Linked DNA regions of Drosophila melanogaster. The protein of the gene in region 2 interacts with the protein of the main gene of each other region in a pairwise test. Each region holds a gene or a part of one and is shown on either strand. Other genes may lie near its edges.

The links.
Region 1: the proteins of scaf6 (region 2) and CG34109 interact in a two-hybrid assay, tested with the Drosophila melanogaster proteins (one large-scale study listed by BioGRID).
Region 3: the proteins of scaf6 (region 2) and Dlip3 interact in a two-hybrid assay, tested with the Drosophila melanogaster proteins (one large-scale study listed by BioGRID).
Region 4: the proteins of scaf6 (region 2) and bsh interact in a two-hybrid assay, tested with the Drosophila melanogaster proteins (one large-scale study listed by BioGRID).

What each region holds. Positions count from the first base shown.
Region 1 is NT_033779.5:10,092,125-10,097,102, forward strand, and holds the start of CG34109 (uncharacterized protein), read left to right. Parts: upstream 1-1,963; 5' UTR 1,964-1,973; intron 1,974-4,789; coding exon of another isoform or gene 4,790-4,929; intron 4,930-4,978. Other genes in the region: CG44153 (uncharacterized protein), read right to left, coding at 4,790-4,929; CG13133 (uncharacterized protein), read right to left, coding at 1-111.
Region 2 is NT_037436.4:17,036,542-17,044,160, forward strand, and holds scaf6 (SR-related CTD associated factor 6), read right to left. Parts: upstream 6,034-7,619; 5' UTR 5,919-6,033; coding exon 5,897-5,918; intron 5,733-5,896; coding exon 5,562-5,732; intron 5,500-5,561; coding exon 5,153-5,499; coding exon of another isoform or gene 5,144-5,152; exon of another isoform or gene 4,393-5,143; intron 4,061-4,392; coding exon 3,898-4,060; intron 3,670-3,897; coding exon 3,597-3,669; intron 3,090-3,596; coding exon 3,015-3,089; intron 2,793-3,014; coding exon 2,716-2,792; intron 2,653-2,715; coding exon 2,454-2,652; intron 2,392-2,453; coding exon 1,390-2,391; intron 1,333-1,389; coding exon 1,165-1,332; intron 1,094-1,164; coding exon 779-1,093; intron 715-778; coding exon 543-714; intron 490-542; coding exon 391-489; 3' UTR 318-390; downstream 1-317. Other genes in the region: beg (bad egg), read left to right, coding at 1-297; Papst2 (PAPS transporter 2), read left to right, coding at 6,525-7,376, 7,433-7,614.
Region 3 is NT_033778.4:18,126,798-18,130,780, forward strand, and holds Dlip3 (dorsal interacting protein 3), read left to right. Parts: upstream 1-1,696; 5' UTR 1,697-1,879; coding exon 1,880-1,973; intron 1,974-2,178; coding exon 2,179-2,304; intron 2,305-2,381; coding exon 2,382-3,208; 3' UTR 3,209-3,449; downstream 3,450-3,983. Other genes in the region: Spn55B (serpin 55B), read left to right, coding at 1-500, 1,068-1,334; Hsf (heat shock factor), read right to left, coding at 3,958-3,983.
Region 4 is NT_033779.5:19,765,254-19,770,968, forward strand, and holds bsh (brain-specific homeobox), read right to left. Parts: upstream 3,815-5,715; 5' UTR 3,677-3,814; coding exon 3,234-3,676; intron 2,762-3,233; coding exon 2,487-2,761; intron 2,098-2,486; coding exon 1,795-2,097; intron 1,376-1,794; coding exon 1,107-1,375; 3' UTR 523-1,106; downstream 1-522. UniProt on the Drosophila melanogaster protein: DNA binding protein that function as transcriptional activator. May play a role in the determination and function of cell types in the brain.

The DNA.
Region 1 (4,978 bases), on a different chromosome or scaffold from region 2:
CCTCTGCCGGCACTTGGACTCCCCGGTGGACCAGTGGCGACGCGGCGGTTGCCAGTGATGGTGACCATGCTCGTGATCATGCTCCCAATCCCAGTCCCAGTGGATGGGCATGACTGCGCCACCGGTTCCCGATGCACGGACTCCGGTTCGTTGGACACACGGAGCAAGCGTGTTGATTTTTGGCTTATGTGGCCAAAAAAACCGTTGCCCTCCGCCCGGTTCGACTCTTACAAGCTAACTGAGTGGATGAGGTTATGGTAATCGCTGGAACTTGGAGCTGCACAACTGTACCTGGCACCAAAGCCACTCTAACTGAGCATATTTCTGTTCCACCTTCAATGGCGTTTTTAAGTACAGTGACTCTTCAGTAGGTGCGACTCCAATTCGATGCAGGAAAGGATCATTTAGAAACATGCACGTAAACCAAAAGATATTCTTTTAATTAAGTTGGCTACAGGTAAATGGCTTTTTACTAAGTGATAACTCTCAATCAGTTACATATATCAGGATTTTACTGTATCGCGTTCCTTCAGTGGGACACGCGTTCCCGGGAAAGTGGGTCTCAGCCTTGTCCGACAACTCGAACTGTTTGATCAATACCCGTCCCACCAGCAGTCCAATCAGCCGCGGAGCTTCGTCCTTTTATTGCACAAGCGGCGCCAAGGAGCCGGAATCGGAAGACGGGACAAGGAGAGCACAGTGCACACAGCGCGAGTTGAGCCAGTTATGAGATAATGCCAAAAATTTTGAATCAAACCGAGTGCTGGAGGAATGGCGAATGGTGTCACTAATTGTACCATTGTCACCCCGCCACGGGAAGAGCAAAGCAAATCCGAGCAACTGAACTCGGCAGACGAGTATGGCAGACGCATTGTGGCAAATGAAACTAATGAAAATCGTGACCCCACAGCAACATTGGATACTTATGCACTAAGAGAAACTGCATGGATATCTATGAAAATCGAAAGCTACTCCATGAAGAGTGGCAAAAGTCCTTGTTAAAATTGTATACTTATTTTAAAATTTGAAATACACTTTTTTTAGTGCGTTTTTTTTTTCAGTGTGACTGCAGTGCTATCCAAACAGCTGTTAACAGGGTGCTATCTTTTACGGAAAATATGGCAAAAGTAAGCAACCAAATTTTCTGATTGGCTGTAGATAATGAAAGCTGCGTCGGATTAAATTTCCCGCCAAATCCTTAAGGCTCGTGGGACCAAATTACAACCACTTCCTCTCGATTTGCACCCTGTATTCGATAGCTGTATTCCATTGTCCTTAGACGACGACGACGACATCGTCGTTGCGTTGTCAAGACAGTTGTTGCCTCTTTGTTGCTGCCATTTTTGTACCACTGCTGCCCCGGGTTGAGCCAATTTGTAAAATATATACGATATATATTTTACTTATGTCTGGTGCTGCTGGGGTCAGGCAATTTGGCTGCTCGCGCTGCATGGCTGCTGAAATTGAATTTTTGCTTTGGCTTTTAAGCAAGTTTGACAAATTTTCAGAGCACGGCCAAAAGTGACTGCAACAGTTTCGTTAGCTTCCAAGCCAAAAGTCGATGTTTTCTTGGCCAAGGGAAAAGCAGAAAAGTCAAAAGGGGATGGGGGCCAAGGGGTAGATGGGTTTGAAATTGCATTGACAGGCAGTCAAGCCCTTCCACTTCATGGCGCTGGGACAAATATAGATTACGCAAGTGCTTAGGGTTAAGCTAATATTAGCAGGAATCTAAATTCCTTCCTCAAAAGGTCAATTGGTTTGCTGGCTACAAATTGTGCACCGCTTTTACATAACACATCGATGCCAAAGACGTCAGAGAAACGTACAGAGCTTAGTTTTTAGCAAGCTCCTGTTGATCGAATTAGCTGGAATTTGTTAGGCAAATAAAATGTGGGAAAAATGGATCTTTGTTGGCTGCTTTTCAGTCTTGAACTCAGTTCAATTCAGACTTTAAAGGTGTTCGCAAGCTTTAAGTAAGCAAAAAGTGGTGTAGTTTGCACAATAAAAGGACCTCGATTATTTCAAGCGATTAAGGATATTTTTGAAAAGTAAAATCCAACAATTAAGACAATCGAAGTTGGCTTAATGAGAAGTATTTGCTTAGCCGCTGCTTCAATAATTGTATTACTACTGTTGTGGCACTTAATCAGCCCAACGGCCTTGTAGTCCTGCAAATCCTCGCCCCAGATTGCAAAGGACACAGGATTAGGGGCGCAATTAATGACCGTGGCCATTGATTATTTTACACACATGTGTGTGTGTGTGTGTGTACCTACCGCCTTCAAATGGCAATTGGAACGCCAAGGCATGTTAATCAAAGCCACCCCTGTTTTGGGAGTTTGGGGCCAGTTAGCCATGGTTGCGGGCCTCTTGGCAACCAGCTTTGGATGCCTTAGTGCCGTGATTGGAAAATAATTGCATTCATTAAGTGGGTTATTGCCTACGACGCTTGCGATAAACATCTGCTAACTGGGTCACAATTTCGGCGACTGGCAATCCAATAGATTAACGGCCGAACGCCTCAGTTTGCGGGCTTAAAGGTATCTGTATCTGAACATAAGGTTCGTTACACTTGGCCACAACGGATTGGTTGATAGTGTTCCGAAAGCTCGAAACTTCATATTCTTAAAATGTAGTTAATGTTACTAGATATGTATACTTATATTTATTGTCCTTTATCTAAGTCTAAACACAATTACTTTATACGTGCCTTAAGCAAACTGTCTAAATGTGCCAATTGGTTGCCAATAGCCATCGGTGGTAACTAATCAGTAGATGGCCAGTATTGGCCATATTTCGATAATAAATAGCATTTGCCCAAGTGAACATCTCCCTGCGGTGAAATCAAGCATTAAAAATTCACTTACTTCCGGTTATTTTAGTACGCAAAAGTAAAGTCATCGGACGGATTTAATGTGTAGTCGTTTGTATAATGCAAAGTTGGTAAATGTCCAAATGAATGACTTCACTCACTTCACTTTAGTTAAAATATTTACTAATACTTGCCTACCCTCCATTTGCGGGGATTTTGGGTGGAGTAAAACACATGTTTGCGGCTTTGTACGGCAGTCATTTTTTACACATCAATGCGTCCGAGTGGGCCACGCAAACTGGGCGAAACTGAAACTGATGGAAGGTCTGCCAGCCACGTGGAGGTCCTGCAGCAAACAAGGATACCATGTACATGTGGGGGATCCGTACAAATATGCATAAAAGTAATCATAAGTCCGGATCCCCACCACCACCACCACCACCACCTCCTCCTCCATCACCATCATCATCATCGGATGGGGCTAGCTGGCGGAATGGCCATGGAAGGGTCCGAATTGTTCTATGTAGCAGTTGGCATTTGGAAAACGCATAGTTGGCTTCACTAGATAACAAAAACTGAACTCCGAGAATAGATTTGGTTATCGATTTGCGGGAATGGGGGCCATACATTTATTTATTTGAAAGGTAATATTCGGATGAACAATCCTTTATTCGAATACCGCATAAAAATAGAACACATCGTTATCAATTTGATGGCCATCTGCCGATTGAATAACAAGTAATACAAACTATATTTGGTTAAATTGTTGCAAAGATAAAAACAACAATTTACCATATAATAGTTATATTCCTAAAGAGTTCGATCCATTTCGAATGTTTTCCTAACCAAACAGCTTATACGCGCATTTTCTTGAAATTTTAGATATTTTTAGATTTCAAGAGAATGGAAATTTAAATTTCTGGTCAGATAAAAACAACTTTTGGCAACGTTTCGTGACATGTAGTTTCCAAAAACGCGTTGTCCCAGAATGGCGAAAGCCAGCCTGCCAAGGCTTAAAATTTTGTTAATGAATTGCGAATTCTATCGGCATCTGCACCGCCCTGCGCACCGCGTACTCATTTAACCAATCCTTTCCAAGGACCTCCGTTTCGCTCGTTTGCCATTCACGCAACACATTTAAAGTTTGAGCTTTGTGGTGGTGCTTTCGGCTGCAAGGCGAATTGTCAAGGCAACATGACGGGCGGAAAGTGGGTGGTGTTGCTCCTGGTAGGGCTAAGCTGCTCATAACCCCTGCCAAGTCGCCCAAGTAACAGCCCCTCGTTAGTTACGGCCATATGCTTTTTATGTAATACACCCACACTACCCGCCAGCCAAGTGGATCCGAAAGTGGATCTGAATTGCGGGGTTGTGGAGCCTGTAGTCGGAAGTCTGAGGCATTCCGGAATGGAATGGGCATGCCATTCGTATATGTTGGCCAACACATGTGTTCCGGCTGGCCCACTCTGTAGGATTTATGATCAATCATTCGGTTAGGCTTACTGCGGTTAGGTTTCGGTCTGGTCCAGAACTCAGTATCCCAGCCAGCCTCCAGTTCCCAGCTAGCAACTTACCAACTTGTACCCCGTCCTTCGTCCATGGCCACTGACAAATCTTTATCTTTGCCCTGACTTATTTATCCTTTTTGGCCATTTCATTTTTATTCCGCCTGGCGTTTTTATGTCATGTTTATTGATGTGTAAAAGTCATAAAGTCAAATTGAACACTTGTGACGAGAGTCATCCCTCGCGATTTCCACCCGTCTTCACCCGTTTCTGACTTTCCGAGTGTGACATTGATTTTTGCCATATTCTTTCGATTCTATACTATTTTATTAAAACTCCAGACTCCGTTTCACAGTTTTCTAGGCACTACTCCATTCTCATTCCATATTCCATTACGCGGGCAGCAAGTTTATGGCATTTCGAGCTGGTTGTGGAAGATAAGCAGCTGCGACATGTATATATATAGTTCACTCACCTCGTCGATTTGCTGGCATTAACCACAGCGCCATCCTTGAACCACTGGAACTGCATCCGGGATGAGCCTTGGGCCGTGCAGGATATGATGAACTCGCTGGCCTCGCGGACTCCTGATTGCGGCTGATTGACGGTCAGCTCCTGCGAAAGGGGAGACAATGTCACACTAATTAGACACAGGATGGCTGTG
Region 2 (7,619 bases):
GCCGTGGAGCCATTTACCAAAGCCCTGAAAACGGTGCGACTTCAGGACCCCGTCATTAGAGTGTACTCCAATGTGGATGGCAAACCCTATCGCCATGCCAAGCACATCCTAACGCAGCTGCCCAAGCAAATCGTGAGGCCCGTCAAGTGGGAGCAGACTCTCCACGAGATGTACGAGCGCAAGCAGGGCGTCGACTTTCCACGCACCTTCGAATGCGGTCCTGGCAAGGGCCTGGTCCAGGTCCTGGAAAAAGTAAATGCCAAGGCCGCTCAATCCAGCTTTAATGTTATAGCCTAATCTTGTATAAAAATTCAGTTCGCTTTTATAAAAATGTATATTTTCTGGGCTAAAGGAAACAAAAAACTGGGAAGTTATGACCGTTGGCAGATCCTAACTCTTGTCGTCTCGCGATCGCATCCGGTGCGCGAAGGCAGCTCCTTTGTTCTTCCGAAAGCTCTCGAAGGGATCGTGCATATTAGCGCCCACTCCCTGTGGATAGAAAATTATAAGTTGTCCTTTCTTGCGCACTCTTGCCACTTCACCTTGTACATCTCTCGACGATCGCGCACCTCGCCTCCCGAAATGGGCGTGTCGATGCCTTGATTCTTTGAGCCCAGTCCAGTTCCCGTGCCCGCCCAACCCATTTTCATGAGCATTTGGTGGCCCTTGTTCGATTCCTCGATGAAATCCGCTGGCTTGGCAAATGTGCTTCCCCTGGAAAAACAAAGATAGCTCATTGGTCCGACTGTCATGAAATTGTACTATAGCCATGATTTACAGAAAGCTCGGAGGTGTTAGAGATCTGTCGCGGTCCACTCGTCTTAGGTTGGTGCTGTTGCCATTGTCTCGGCTATTGGAATTGCCACGATCACCACGGCCCTCTCTGGTATTTGTGCTGCCGCTGTTGTTGTCCCGTTCGTGGCGAGGAGATCGATTGCGACCCTTGCGGTTGTTACCACCGCCCAACCTGCTCCGATTCATCGGTGGCGGCGTTAAAGAGCGCTCCATGGATCGCGAGCGGGATCGGGAGCGAGACAACGATCTATCTCGATGGGGCGGCGTTTTTGAGCGGGAGCGACTGCGACTCTTGGATCTGCGCAAGAAAATAAGTGCAAATATTTCTAGTTTTTGTGTGAAAATTTTTGATGGAAAACCAACACTCACCGATAAACTCGCTTGTTGCTCTTTTTGGGTAGGGGTTTCTCGAGCACAATCGGACTTGGCGACCGCGACTTTTCTCGAATGCCGTCCTTGATTTCCTCTTCTTTTTGCTTTCGCGCCGCATTCTTCACCTTATAGTACTCATAGAGACCAAGCTTCTCCCAACCCTCACTGCAAGATAAGCCCATTTATAAGGAACGCTCAATAACATCAAATTGAAATACTTACTTATCCCTTGGACGATCGTGTGAGGGTGCGGAATAGAAGGCGTTCAATGCATTTGTTAATCGCTCGCTTTGTGGCGCTGGAGCTGGCAGTCGAATGTCCGCCGGATCGAGGGCTTTGTAGTTGTAATCCTCCAGACGAATGAGCGGCACCATGAGGCCCGCTGGCAGGTCGTAGTAAGGCGCTGTGGGTATTTGTGGCTCTCCGATCACAACAGGTTCTCCAGATTCTCCGTCGACCAATTTCTGTGGTTGCTGGCCATCTTCCAATGTTCCGTCTTCGGGTTTGTTGGTTATAACCGCGCGAATGGCTGCATTGAGCACATCCAGATCCACTTCGCTGCTATCAGCATTTTGCTGGCCAGGTCTAACAATATTCTGGGGATAGGCAGCCATTGGCGGCGGCTGCTTTTGCTGCTGCGGTTGTTGCTGCTGCTGCTGCTGCAGTTGGTGCTGTCCTTGTTGCTGAGGGTCGTCAGGATGGTGTTGCTGCTGCATCTGTAAGCACGCCTGAATCGCTGCACTGAGAACGCCAAGATCAACAGGTGGTTCATTGCCAGAACCCGGCGCCTGCATGGGCGGAAACTGTCCCGGTTGTGGCTGCTGCTGGCCCATTGCTGGGCCCTGATTATGATGCATGGGTCCGGGGAAGCCTGGTGGTGGTTTGGACATGTCCGGAATGAAGAAGTTCGGTCCGCGTGGATCCGCAAAGTGATTCCCCGGTGGTGGCTGCTGCTGTTGGAAGTTACCACCTGGATACATATTATTTCCCGCCTGCGGATGCTGCTGATCATGCGGCCCCTGGCTATTCATGTGCTCATGGTCACCCGGCATTGCTATTCGGTGGGACATCAGCGATGGTATGTTCTTCTGCTGATGCTGAAGCATGTGTTGCTGCTGGGACTTCTGGGCCACAATCTGCTGCTCCAGGTGCTGCGCCTGTTTCTCCAGCTGCACAATTTGCTGGCTAGCATGTTGGATAAATACATGATGCTGTTTCTGATAGCTGAAGCATAAGAGTTATGGTTTATTATGTGCTCTATTATGTTCTTGGACTTTTATACTTACTTATCCAAAGTCGCCTTGGTATTCTGCGTGAATTTAGCAGTTATATCATGATGTGTGTTCTGCAGATTGGTTTTGTACTCCTGCATTGACGAGTCCGGTGACTGAAGCTTCGAGATGACGCAGGCATCGAAGAACTTCGCCTTGGACTCCCACAGAGACAGCAGCTTGGCTAGCTTCTGGCGCTGGTCGGGGTTGCCAACTGTGGGCGAGGATAACACTATTAGAAATCCGTAAAGGAATGGATCGAAGTGGAAATACATACTCAAGTCGGCGCTGCAGAACATCGGAATGACGACGTTCTCGAGGCTGTTCTTCAAGTCATTGATGTTCTTGCGCATGCTGTAAATATATCGTTGGACTTAGGTCTCATCTCCTAGCTACTCTAAATGTCAAGGTATGATGTCCGAAGTCCGGTGGTCGGTCAGGTTCAGTCCAATTCTGTCAGCGTAGTCGTCCGCAGAAACTAACCCACAAAGTAGTCTTACTGCTCAGTGGGTTAGTTATTGAGGTCTATGGCCCTTAAATACTATACTATACTAATAATTGACTGGGCGAACTTACCAGTGATGGAGTATATCATTAACTAAATATATAAGATGCAATTTTTGCTGAAACGTTGAACCATTGACCAAAGCCCTAAAAATAAATTAACAAACGAAAAACATATTTTTCTAGTTCTCTGTATGCACAACAACATTGCCAAAAGTACTTGTTGTGCAAGTATAATGATTTTTGTTAGTAAATCTTCTTTCTTTTTGGTATTTGTGTTTTTTTTTTTGGTTTTTTTTTTTTGTCCGATGATTATCACTGTTAAGTGTTGGTGTGTTGTTGTGCGTGTTTATGGTTAAGCTTATTAAGTAAAATGATTTGTTTGGGTGTGTGGCCCTAGCTAAAAGACTTCCGGATCTGGGGACTACTCATATATGATCATAACATCTCTCGAAAACGAATCAACGAATCAATCTCGAGCCTCTCTGTGGAAGTCTCAATCGCACAATCGCTCAATCGATCATCTCTCACTTGTTTGTTCGATATTTCGTATTTCGTTTTTCTATGTTTGGTTAGTATTTCACTCGTTGAAAGAAAGAAACACAATTTAATTAATACATATTGCAGGTCATTAGGTATAAAACTGAGGCATACTTCTTTAAAAGATATTGTAAAACGACATTGATTTTTGCGCTGTCGGTTGAATGCTGTAAAATCCAGTTCTTGCCTAAAATTGCAATATCAAACGGGTTACTCATATTGTCATTGTCCATGGCGATTATAAATTAGGTTTAGGATTAATCAAAAAGTAGTATGGATTCATTTAGTGTGCGCTTTGTGTGCAGCAAAGCTGCGGAGCATCAAAAATTCAGCTCCATTAGCTAACTTATGACTGATTACGAGACTACAAACAAGCAATAATGTAATCCAGCCTGTCCGCTGAACTCGTATTTACCTGCAGAGATGCTGTCCTTCGTGCAGGACTCGATGATCGGCTGCAGAACGCCATCGAAGTCCCTCAGCACAATGCCCTGTTCGCCAGCCATCTGTTCCTGCTGCGCCGTCTGCGCCGCCGCAATTGCATCCTCGATCTGCTTGGTCTTCTGATTCATCAGGGCCTACAGGTTGGTTTCGTTTGGTTGATTGGTGCGATTAGGATCGCAAGCGTTGGTGTGGTTCGGATCGGTTCGGTTTGGTCATTAGGCACACAAAGGTTTGTTCGCATGCATATTCGCATTTTGGGATTCATTTGACAAGCGTTTCAAAACAAATTTGATTTTAGGATTTGTTTTTTTTTTGTTTTTATACAGTTTTGTCAGTTGGTATGAAGAGTGGTTTGATTTGGTTTTTTTTTTTTTGGTTTATGTTTCAAAAAATACAATAAAGCAAAAATTTAATGTAGCATTGTAAATTGTTAATTAAATAGTAAAAATAATGACAAATATAGATTGTAGTTTGATATTGCTGAAAGTACACTTTAACTTTATCTTATCCGCACTTGGAGAACAAGAACTGAGTAGATCGATTGAAAAAACATTTGGAAAAGGGTCGAGAGCAGGATTGATTATTCTGAGGAATTCGTGGATTAGTTTCATAAGAAACAATTTCAAGAGGGAAGTCACTTCCATTACAGGGAAATTCAATAGCGACAAGCAATAAGAAATGTCCTTCTTATTAGAAAGAATTTAGTTCACAGTACTTATAGAGTGAAAAGTCCACAAAAGCAGTTCATAATTATTAATATTAAACACCATTTGATGAACTCTTGTTCCAGAGTTGTTATTACAAAAACTAGGGAATACAAAACTGCCATCTATGAGTCTATGACAATATCTTTGGAAATCATTTAAGTCCGAAAGTATATAAGGGTTATACAAGTTATCTTCTCTCTTAAGAAAATAATTAAAAGCATTCTGGCTTAAAATCGAGGTATATTCACATTCGATTGGGTCGTTTAAAAGGGAGGTCAAAAATTCGAAGAAGCAAACACGTTCTTATATTCAGACTATAAAAGCAACTTTTAGGTGGGTATTTAGTTTAAAAAGGAAACCAATTTGCTTCTTTAAATTTTTGCCAGAGGAGGCCAACATTCAACATGAAATCATATTGAAATCTTTTCTTTATACACTCGAGCTGCTCTAATCTTTCGGAAAAAGGCTTGCAAAGGTGGGCATATAGAGGTATCCCAGTTATTTCCAACTTCAAATTACCGTGTGCTGTGCGGAGAGATTCGCTTCGGATTGCTGGATCTGTTCCCGCAGCGACTTCTGCTGCATCTTGATGGCTTCCAGTTGTGACGTTAGATTCATGGCCATGGGATTGCCATTGGCCTGCTGATTGTTTGGCGGCCCACCGTTGCCGGAGTTCGGCGGCCAGGAGTGCTGTGTTTGCTGTTGCATATTGTCTTGTGCGGTTTCGGGCGGGTGCGGTGGCTGCTGATTGGGTGGCGGATAGAGGCCCGGTGGTTGGGATTGCTGCATTGGCGGCGGATGTTGCATGTAGTGGCCGGATGGAGCACCTGGTGGCAGTTGTTGGTTAATGGCCTGTTGCTTTAGCACTGTATTGGGTGTTAAAAGGAGATTATAGGGGTTATTTTCCACCAATTTAGAACGCACTCACGAGCTTGTTCCGCTGCCACCCTGAATTGATAATAGTTGGCGAACTCCCCGCCGTAGAGGAACTCGAACTTTGGATTGTTCTGCTGCTTCTGCTTGGTTATCGCCTCGAATTCCGGCCCATTTCTGGCCACAAACTCCGCCAGTTTGTCGATAATATTTCGTAAACTGGCATCTGCAAATAGAAAGCAAATGGTTTTTGCAAAAAATGTGAGCATATCAAAGGTTGTGCGTGCGCTTGTTTGTTTGTATGTGTACACATGTGCATGCCAATCGACTTGGGCACAAAATTAGCTTGATTTTAAGTTATATTCAGCACTTTTTAATTGCTGCACTTACCGCGTGGCGGTTGCACGTCCATTTTGCGACTGTTATTAGCACTATTATCCTATGTAAAATACTAAATTCATAACTTTTTGCACTTTTTCAGCGGCACTTTTCACTGCTTCTTCTTGTTTTTTCCGACAGTGTGCCCATATCTTTGTATTCTTAGAACGACATGTAGTCAAATACTAGGAGTTACTCTCGGCACTACTTTTTAAGTAGTTTTTAGCGCTTATCATACGCTTTTTTGAGCAAAAAAGCGGCTTAAACCTTTATCGCTGCTCATTTGTTAAATGTATTTATTGCCAGTAGCAGAAGTTCCAATTAGAATGACGGTGGTAGCAGAGCTGCCAACTTGTTCCACGTTATACCGGTCTCTCTTCTATTATTACCACAACGTGGCAACGCCGCGCGTCTATCTCAGTTCTAAGCTGACAAAAATAGTTTATTTGTGGTAAACAAACATTTAGCCAGGGCAATTTGCACCCAACAGAAATCTCCACGCCGGCCCGTGATTAATGCAGCATCCGAGGAGGCATGACAAATCCGCACTTTAAACCGACAACTCCGCGGACAGCGTGGCATTGAATTACACGGGCTCCCTGGAAATATAATCTTGAAATAGCCACTATATAGTGTGTATATGTATATAGACACATCCGCTAGCAGCAGAATGACCGATAATAAGGGGAGCGTTATCACCATTAATGGCGGCGAATCGGCGGGAAACTCGCCGCCCTCGCAGCGGAAGTCCTCGACGTCGGAATCTCCGCCGGAACTCCGTATCCTTTGCTTTGACCTCACCTACTACAATCGCACAACTCAGTTCCTGCTCAGCTGCGCCGGCGTCTTCTTCCTGTACATCCTGTACGGCTATCTGCAGGAGCTGATCTTCACCGTCGAAGGATTCAAACCCTACGGATGGTTCCTCACGCTCGTCCAGTTTGGCTACTACATCGGCTTCGGTTTGGTGGAGCGGCGGCTGGAGGGCTATCGGATAAGCGGCGGTTCCTTTTGGAACATTGAGCCGGAGCCACGTTGCATTCCCATGAGAACATACCTAATTCTGGCTGCTCTCACGCTGGGTACCATGGGTCTGTCCAACTCAAGTCTCGGCTACCTGAACTATCCCACCCAGGTGATTTTCAAGTGCTGCAAGCTCATTCCCGTGCTGGTGGGCAGCATCCTCATACAGGGCAAACGCTACGGACTGCTGGACTTTGCGGCAGCCACCTGCATGTGCATCGGATTGGCCTGGTTCACGCTGGCCGACTCCCAGATGACGCCCAATTTCAATCTGCTTGGTGTGGCCATGATTTCGGGAGCGCTGCTCTGCGACGCAGCCATTGGCAATGTCCAGGAGAAGGCGATGCGGGAATTCAAGGCGCCCAGCAGTGAGGTGGTGTTCTACTCATACGGCTTGGGTTTTGTGTACCTATTTGTGATTATGCTGGTTACCGGCAACTTCTTCAGCGGCTTTGCATTCTGTTTGGAGGTGGGTAACATTTGAGGTTTATGATGTAAGAGATCTAAAGTGTATTATCCATTTAGCATCCCGTTGAGACCTTCGGCTATGGCTTCCTCTTTAGTTTGTCCGGCTATCTGGGCATTCAGTTTGTGCTGGCTCTGGTGAGGAGTAGTGGTGCCCCCATAGCTGCCACAGTGACCACCGCCCGCAAGGCTGTGACTATAGCCTTCTCCTTTGTGCTTTTCAGCAAGCCCTTTACCTTACAGTAAG
Region 3 (3,983 bases), on a different chromosome or scaffold from region 2:
AGTCCATTAACTTTGCGCTCAACGATGCCGCCGCCCAGGCCATCAATGCCTGGGTGAATGCCAAGACTCAGGGCAAGATTACGGAGCTGGTCAGCGCGGACTCGTTCTCGGACAACACCAGGCTGGTCCTGCTCAATGCCCTCCACTTCAAGGGCAGCTGGGCGCACAAGTTCAGCGAGGAGCGCACCGAGGAGGATATCTTCTGGGTGGGCGAGGAGGAGCAGGTTAAAATCAACTACATGAACCAGAAGGCCAAGTTCAACTATGGCTTCTTCGAAGATCTGGGCTGCACTGCCCTGGAGATGCCCTACCAGGACTCTGACCTCTCCATGTTCGTGCTGCTGCCGCAGGAGCGGACAGGTATTTACGCCCTAGCCGAGAAGCTCAAGACTGTGAACCTGGTGGATTTGGCCGACAAGTTGACCGTGGAAGAGGTCCATGTCAAGTTCCCCAAGTTTAAGGTGGACTACTCCCTGGAATTGGCCGAGAAACTGAAGCAGGTACATATTATTTTTTTTTTTTGGGGGTGGGGGGGGTTGATTGTTCCACCCAATTTATGCCACAATTAAGCTCCATTTGGGGTCAGCTTTTGTTTTTATATAACACAGTTCCTTGACCTCCATTTGATGTTGCGTGCTTAAGGTGAAGTTTGGAGTTATTAATAGCAGTAGCTCAATAAATTTCTCCATAAAATCCAGAATTCAATTTTATGGACACGTTGCAGTGCTGCAAACCGCCCACAAAAATATTTATTGCCCACTTATCTCTAAAATTCCGTCTATTGATGTACATATGTATTATTTTTAGTAGCTTATCGACGGTAGGGTAGAAATGTCTTAGATAACCAAAATGAGCTGTTGTGGTATTGCGGTGGCAGCTAGTGGCTCGAACTCAAGATCATGTATCAGCCGCACGATCCTAAAAAAAAATGATGGAATTTTAGCTGCAGTCGGATGTGACACACCTTTCCAAGCACCTCACATATCTAATCGTTCATAAATCCTCAATCGGATATGACCTCATTAGTTATTTACTTGGCACTTATGTATTTACCTTTTCACTTTCAGCTGGGCATCACGAAAATGTTTACGGACCAAGCTGAGTTTAGCAATCTGCTGGAATCCCCCGAGGGCGTCTTTGTGTCCAAGGTGCTGCACAAGGCCACCATCGAGGTGAATGAGGAGGGCACGGAGGCGGCGGCTGCCACCGGCATGATCATGATGACCCGCATGATGACCTTCCCGCTGCAGTTCCAGGCGGACCGGCCCTTCCTCTACGTCATCTGGAATAAGAAGAACATCCTCTTCGCTGGCGCCTTCGTTAAGGCTGCCTAAAAGCCCATTTCTCACTTCTTTCGTATTGTTTGTATTGTTGTTGGAAAAGTATTTTTAAATAAATAAGCGCTCCATGATTAAATTACCCGTGTTTATCGTATTGCCAATTGGAAATTCTTGGCAGATGTAAACAAATTTGAACTAAACACCTGTTTCAATAGAAAAATATGAGAACGTTGTTTGAGGATCAACATTTCGGTTATTTAAATATATGTTTTCATGATATTTGAAGTGCGCGCCACTCATTCAGCCTTGCCACCAAGTTCGTGGTCTGTTATCGATTCGATATCGAAAAGAAGTCGCGAAATGGCCTAAAACTGGCCGAACCGCAAGACCAGCCGAATTGAGTCTGCGCAGAGCGCGTAAAACCAAAACGAAGAGAACGCAGGAGAGTCGAACGGTAAATCGGTCGCAGCAACATAAACTTTTAGAATCGCCAGCGAGAGCCGTCTTAAAAGTGCGAATACAAACAGAAGGAAAAGCGGCCGCCTATGGCAACCTGACTAGCAAAACATTCGAAAGCAATTGGCCAAAGTTAGGACGAAATGAGCCGAAAGAACGGAAACCAGGACACCTTTCCCAAGACGGAGAAGATGCAGCGCTACTACGCGGAGCGCGAGACCACAGGACCCGAGTTCGGTGAGTTTTCCTCGGTTCGCAATCGGTACACAATGGATTCAGAAATGGAATCTGAGTAACCGGGGCTCGCAGAATCAACCCCCAAAGCCAAAGGATGTGTCTTCTGCGCTTAGGGGTTGCTGTTTCTGCGGCGAAGAAACGTAGAAACGGAATTAGAAAACCGAAACAGATTTTAACGATTTTTCCCACAAATCCTTGCTCCCAGACGATCGCCTGATAAAGCTTGTGCGCGCCAATCCGGCCATCTATGATGTCAGCCATCCGCACTATCGCCGTAATCCGGTGCGGGTGGACATATGGGATCGCATTGCCAACGAACTGGGCGCCTCCTGTGAGTATATTGCATTTTATCCACTGCGTAGATTCTGTCGATAAAACCACCCCATTTTTTCTACGCCCACTTCACAGCCCGATTTCTGCAAACCAAATGGAAGAACATACGATACAACTATCTGCAGGAGGTCAAGGCGATTGAGACGGGCCAGGCGAATCCGAACGTACGCAAGCGGCGCTTCACTGAGGATCTATCCTTTCTGCAGAACACGGCCCAAACCTACAATGTGAAGAAATCCCAGAGCTACGTGGCCCAACAGAATGGAATGGGAAGTGACAACGACAGCAATAGCTTTTTGTATCCCGATCCGGAGCACCTAAAGATCGACGCCTCCGAGGGCTACGACATCATCGAGCTGGACAACAGCGACGATGGCTCAAATAGCGACGACAACGAGATTGTGCCCGAGTTGCAGCTGGTCATGGGAGAGTCCAAGCAGCAATTATCCCTGCCGACGACACTGAACGGCACCAGCAGCAGCAATCACAGCCACGAACATGACCAAGCCAGCTCGCCGGCCTCCTCGCCCCTGCTAACGCCGATGGTTGTAATGGGCAATGGCTATGGCCAGGAGGTGCATCTAGAACAGCAGCAGACACAGGAGCAAAAGCCGTTCAAGAATAGCTCGCTGTCCAACGGAGAAGTGACCATTGAGCCCATTTACAAGCCTGCGGCTATCAGACGCGCATTACCCAGCGATTTTCTGACCAATCCCTTCAAGCGCAAGGCAACCCAAGCGCCGCTTCAGACCCAAGTGACGTCGTCCTTCAACGATCCCATCGAGCTCTACTGCCTATCGCTGGTGGACACACTGCGCAGCATGCGGAGATCGGAACGGGAGCGGGTCAAGTTCGAGTTCGCCAACATTCTGAAGGACGCCAAGTACAAGGACGAAAGCTAAGGCGTCATAGTCATCATTCTATACGTACAATTCTCGATTAGTATCCTTAGTGGTAGACAACGCACTCGAACACTTCCCACACTCCCCCTTCATTTATGTATTTACATACTTGCAAACAACTTGTAACTCTACGTTTCGAGTCCTAGGCTAAGGTTCTAGGTTAATTTGAGGCGATATGTGTCCATAGTCCATATCTCTTTAGTTGTATCAACATTGAGTCGAATAAAATTATGCACAAAACAAGGTTAGCAGCAAACGAAGTTTCATTGTTCCAAAGAAAAAGTACACATTTGATTTCATTTGCAGCTCAACGCGACATTAAACAATTTATTTTGAAATAATGATAAGAGTAGTGTGTAAAATGTATAAACTGAAGCGTGCGATCTTAAATCGTATACGATGCGATCAGCTTTCACTGTACTCTCGATCGGTTAGTGCAAACTAAAAATCTTCTACCTGCTGAGCTGGGGCCCGCAAAATCCCGCGATACAAAATAAATCTAAATCTTTACTGATTCTTCGAGTCTTTCTACAACAAGAACTGGTTAGTCTATATATCATATATATAGTGCATAAGGCATATACAGATCATTCATATGATTATAGTGGTTATTAATGTGATTATCGTATGAATCAACTAAATGGTTAGACAGAGTAGGTGATGAAAATTAACGTGTCAAGATTTGCATTTAACACTAAAAACGATTTGTTCGCCAATTTAACGGCTGAGCTGCTGCTACTTAATATAAGTTACAACTCGTGACGTGGCGTATTTA
Region 4 (5,715 bases), on a different chromosome or scaffold from region 2:
ACAGTCCAAAGTATGAAACTAAAAATGATAACTTCTCTCAACAAATAGATCCATGAGTTTTGATGACTGCAAAGGTATCTACATGTATATAAGCATATGGAACTCCATTCCCTCCAAGACTCATTCTTAATCGGGTAAACTATTAATATTTTTTCGAGAGCATTCCTGCTAACCCGTAATTACCAATCAATTTGAAACATTTAACTTTTACCTCCTCACTCTATTCCGCACTTGACAATGGGTGTCTCACTAAAATGGCTGTCTGAAAACCCGCAATTATTTTGCCATTGTTAAGTGCATTTCCATCCACCCCGATTCAATCCAATCCCACCCGCTTCCGCCCGCCCACTTGGGCGGCAGGACATGCGCAGGGCGTGGCAGTCGCCAACCCCATACATCAGTATTCCCGCTGCTTAACCATATTAGTTGCTACTTTGTGTTGTCAATTGGATTTGATTGCCCGGCGAGGGGGCGGGCATCAAGCTACACCACCCACCCACCCAGTAACACTTCTCCAGCATTCGCGTAATTCGCTCCGTTCCGTTTATTGTAAGCACTATGTTCTGGATAAGAAGTCGCAGGGAACTAATGTATCTTAAAATGGAAGTTCTCGAATACAATCACTAAATTTGATTAGTTATTAGACTTAATACATGACTAGAAAACTCGTTCAAGAACTCGTTGGTATTTACACGGCTTTTCGATTCAATTCAAATATGTATCTGGGGGGAAATACAACTATAATTATAGCAAAATAAATATGTTTCTTTTGGACAAGATCAAAACAGCTAGAGTAGCTGGATGGTATCTGTTATAATCAATCAATTAATTCAATGGTGAAACTGATGGGTAAGTTTCCACAATTATAAGGAACTATAGTTCGTACTAAATCGTAATAATAGATATTTTCAAAATGGTATAACCATGCTCGCGCTGATAATATATGTGTTGTTTTGTAACTTCTGTGCTTGTCTAATAGAAAAGTCATTTAGTAAAAGAAACTGATATTTTTTGATTTGAAAATCTCTTTTAGTTGTATTTCCCCCAACTGAAACACCGAAAACTTTACTACTTTAGGATCCAGGTCCACATCCCGATCGAACTGTCTATGTTAACTGGTAGAGTTTCGCATCGCCGACGATGTCCACGTCGCTGGAGTTGTCCTCGTCGCCACTGTCCGCCTCCAGATCGGAGTAGTCATCCGTGGAGTAACCCTGCTGCATCAGGCACATCTGCAGCTGCTGCTCGCTCGTCGGCTGAGTGGGTGTGCCGCCGACAGATCCGGGATTCAGTTTGCCGTGCTTGGAGTCCCCGGATGAGGAGGTGGCCTCGCCCGGCTGCTTGCCCGGTTCGCTGCGTGAGAAGTCGACGGGCTCTGCGGCATGGAAGAGTCAAAGAAATTTCCACAAAATTTAGAACTAATTTGATTTGCGTTGAAACTTGAGCAAAACTTTTTGCATCACAAGGAGCCGGCTAAAAGCCAAAAGGTCTAATTGATAGTCCAAAAGTTCCTCAAAGAAACTACTCACTCCAGTGGTCTAGTTTTTGGTGCTTTGTGACCAATTTGAAAACCGCTGACCACTCCTGCTCGAAATGCCTTTTGACAATTTAATTGCTAACTCAAATATTGCATTGTCTAAAAGCTGGAAAACTTGAGCAACTCTTTTTCGCTCTAGTTGTTCTTAACAGCCCAGAAAAGGTTTGAATATTAAATAACTTGATTTGAGTATTATAAATTTCGTAATATTTAATTTGCTCATAATAAATTTGTGATTATGAAATCAATATACTCACCATTGGCATTGTCGCGCCGGCGCAGCTGCTTTTTGTGCTTCATGCGGCGGTTCTGGAACCAGGTCTTCACCTGCGTCTCGCTGAGTCCCAAGGCGGTGGCCAGCTCCACACGCTCCGGCGTGGACAGGTATCGCTGTCCCTCGAACCGCTTTTCCAGACCGGACAGCTGCGGATCACTGAACACCGTGCGAGCCTTCCTCCGGCGGCAGTGGCGCAGGGCATTCACGCCCATTCCCAGTCCGAGGGCCAGTTCCGGCACACAGCCAGGCGCTCCGAAGAAGGGCGCTCCCCCGAACAGGCTGGCTGAAAGGGCAAAGGATGCAAAATTTGGTTAACTTCGTTATAGTTGGAACAAATGAAAACTTTCGGTGTTGATGGCCATTTACACCGAATATTTCGAGTTTTAGTGCCCCTAAATGAAGCTATGTGGCAACAAAAAACTGCACTTCAACATCAGTTGTCCTACTAATTTGGGTTTCATTTTGAAAAAGTTCTAAATGTGAAATTAAATGTTGTGCTGGCTTTTTAATGAGAATATGTCCAACTTCATTTTCGATTAGCTAAACTCTAGCTAGAATTGACTTTTAATTTCTATGAGTTCGACTTTAACTTATTACCAACATGTTTGTATGTACCAGTACAAATCAGAATCATCTAGGAGGATATCTCTGTAATATCGAGCATTAACTCACCTTGTGATAGAAAATAGGGATCCACGGACTTGTAGGTGCCCGACGACGGCGAGAGATATCCGAGGGTCATTTGAAGAAATCCGTGATCGGTGTAGGGTGCATTCGGATAGAGTACTCCATTGGATGCACCACTACCTCCATTCAGGGGCGGCGGAGGCGGAGGTTGAGGTTGAGTCGTGGGCACCGGCGGATGTTGTGCTGCTCCAGATCCCAACTGCTGCGAAATCTGATCTCCGTTGTAGTGGGAAGTTCCGTGTCGCGAGTGGTGGTTGGACCTACGAAGCAAGTGGTTCAATTAGGGGTCTATTGGTATTTCGATGTTAAACTATTCTCTTTATGTCCAATAGTGATTTTTATGCTAATATGCTTAAATACAAATATATATTCCCAGATACATTAAGCTTTATGGTAAGCCTGATTTCTATGTTTCCAAAATATCATTTTTCTTACAAAAAATATTCTATAATTTAAAAGAACATAATCCAAAGTAAGATTTTAAAGGTGTATGCTATTCCAAAATATTTGTCTTCAAGAAGGTGTGACTATCTATCGTATTTGATGTTTCATGTTTACTTCTTATTCTTTTATAAATTCACTTTGTTAATATTATCTTATTTTTTATTTATTTTTTTTTTATTTTAATTACTTTTTTTCACTTTTCTATGCAATTATATTGGCTTAAAATTAAAGTTTTTTAAACTAAAATTTCACTGCAGTAGTATTAGGCCTTGGAATTCGGAAACCAACCGTGGAGTGCTGTGCATGGACTTGCCGTAATCCTCGCCAGCGTAACCCGACGCAGCCTGGTTGCTGCGGGCAGTAGCCGTCGCGGATGCGGATGCGGACGCCGGCGGATGTGACTGCGGCGGATGCGAATGTTGCGACGGATGTTTGTGCGGATTATTGTCGTGGGCAAATGCGCTTCTGGCACTTTTCACCGCGTTTCTGCTGCTCTTTGGCGCGTAGTTGTTGGTGTTTGCGGCGATGCCGTTGGTATCACTACTATTATTGTTATTGCTGGCACTATTTAAGTTTTGAAACAATATGTGCTCGATGGAAAACGGCGTTTTTGTGGTCAGCATTGTGGTGGCACTGGCCATCGCCGCCGCCTTGCTGTGCGTGGGCGTGGTGGCGTTGGCATGAGCATGTGCGTCCGCAGGACTCAAGCTGGCCTCATTAAGCATTGCCATTGCGCTGGAGGATGGCCGAGCAGGAGGAGCACGAGGAGCAGTGATGGAGACCGGAGCCAGGAGATGTGCCAGCCAGCCGGGATATATACGTGTCCTTGGACCGCGCGCGCGCTTATGTTGTTTGCTCGTTGACGGTCGCGTTGAGTTTGCGGCAATCACCGCACATCAACCAGCAAATTGCTCTAAACGAGCTGCCAGCAGACATGTGCGAGCGAGCCGGCGATATGGTCCTGCATCCTGCGAAAAGGGGAAAATCGAAGGGGGGGAAAAAATGCGAGCGCAGGCAGTGCCACCCCCTCCTCAATCCGGCTGCAGTTGGCCCGCTTTGCGGTGCCCGCTTAGAGCGGCAATATTCGGGGAATCCCCGTAAGCGGGCACATGAACACACCCCTCGATTTGCATGCGCATAGGGTTGTCCTGCTCTGGCAGGATTTTGAGCACCCATCTCTCTGCTGGCATCCACTGGACATGCGATTAGTGCGGAAAAACCTTAGTTTAATTGACCCCCGTTAGCCGCAAATAAGTTGCACAACTATGCGTCCTTGCTCTGCCGCCATTTTGCGAGGCAGGCACATCCTGCCACGTCCCCAGCCGCCCATTTGGCACCCACTTGTCATAATTAACGTGTCACGGCCGCCATTGTTGGCTGTCTGGCTGATGATGTGCGTGCATTAAATGCCACAATTATTATAATTGAATTAAACAATCGATTCTGCTGCTGTGACAGGATAATTGCTAGGTGGAGCCAGCGCAACTGTACCCGCTGGGTTGGGGCCAAGCATTCGCCTGCTTTGCATTCAGATATTTTTTCCCCGCGCGGTTAATTGAATCAGAGCCCCACATAGCCGTACACCACCCACCAAGGACACCCGGCCCCCTCCGCACCCAACCAAGTGACACCATCGAAAAAGGGGGCGTGCCTCCTTTCCAGCAAGCCACCAATCGGCGAAGAGCTCGCCGAGGGGTTGCTTTCGCAACTATACTCGTCCTGTTTCGTCCTGTTGCTTTGAGAATCAGTCTTTCCTCACAGCGGAAAGTCCTTAATTCCTTCAGAGAGAGGGAAATATGGGGGGGGGGGGTCTCCACAAACAGAGCAGGAAGGAAGGACAATAACGAGACATCGCCGAGAGAGAAAAAGCATATGACGACGATGCGACCAAAAAGCAAGACAAATTTGCTCGTTTTATTAATAAAATAAGTCACGCAAACTAAGTCGAACGTCATTATTAGGTTAAAGCCCTAAAATGGGCGCATTAGGATGGCATTCGAGTGATCGCGGTGATGGTTGGGTCTGCTTGGGGATGTGCTGCCCTGTTCCTGGGCAAAAATATCTCAGCTTCTCTAAGGACATTGGGGGGTTATGGGGTTTGTGTTAACGAATAAAAATATTTAATTGTATTTAAAAGATATTAGAATAATAGTACTTAAAAGTGATAACCTAATTTCAGAAGTGCTCTACCAATTTTAAAATTATTAAATTAAAAAGATATAAGATTCATAGTTCCTAAAAAGACAACGTTTTTCTTTTAATATCTATTTTATAATATTCTTTTCATTTTCTATAAATCTATTTTATGAAATCCCATCTAAATTAAATTTTAATTTAAGGGTTGTATACCTTAATAATAAATATATTTATTATTATTATTTATTATTTATTATAAATATATTTATTATTACATATATGAGAAATAAAAACTGATATTTATCTTAGAGAAAGAATATTAATAGAATAAAATATCTCGAGACTATAGTTACATATAGTTTAGAGCTCCATAGAAGTGGAAAGCTGGAAAAAGGTATCCCAGCCAGAGATGAGCACTTCTCTCACCTGGCCGAAAGCTCTTAACTGGCTGCTCCGCCTCCACATCCACCTCCTCCTCCATGGACTACTCTTCGGTGTCATCCATTGTTAACCCGCTGACATGAACGTGCCAAAGGGCCTTTGTGAGGACATATATTTTGTTCAGTTCTTTTTGAGTCTGCTCGGTGGCGTGTCTACCTTGCGTTTTTTATTGATTTTTCTCGCTAGGTGGAAA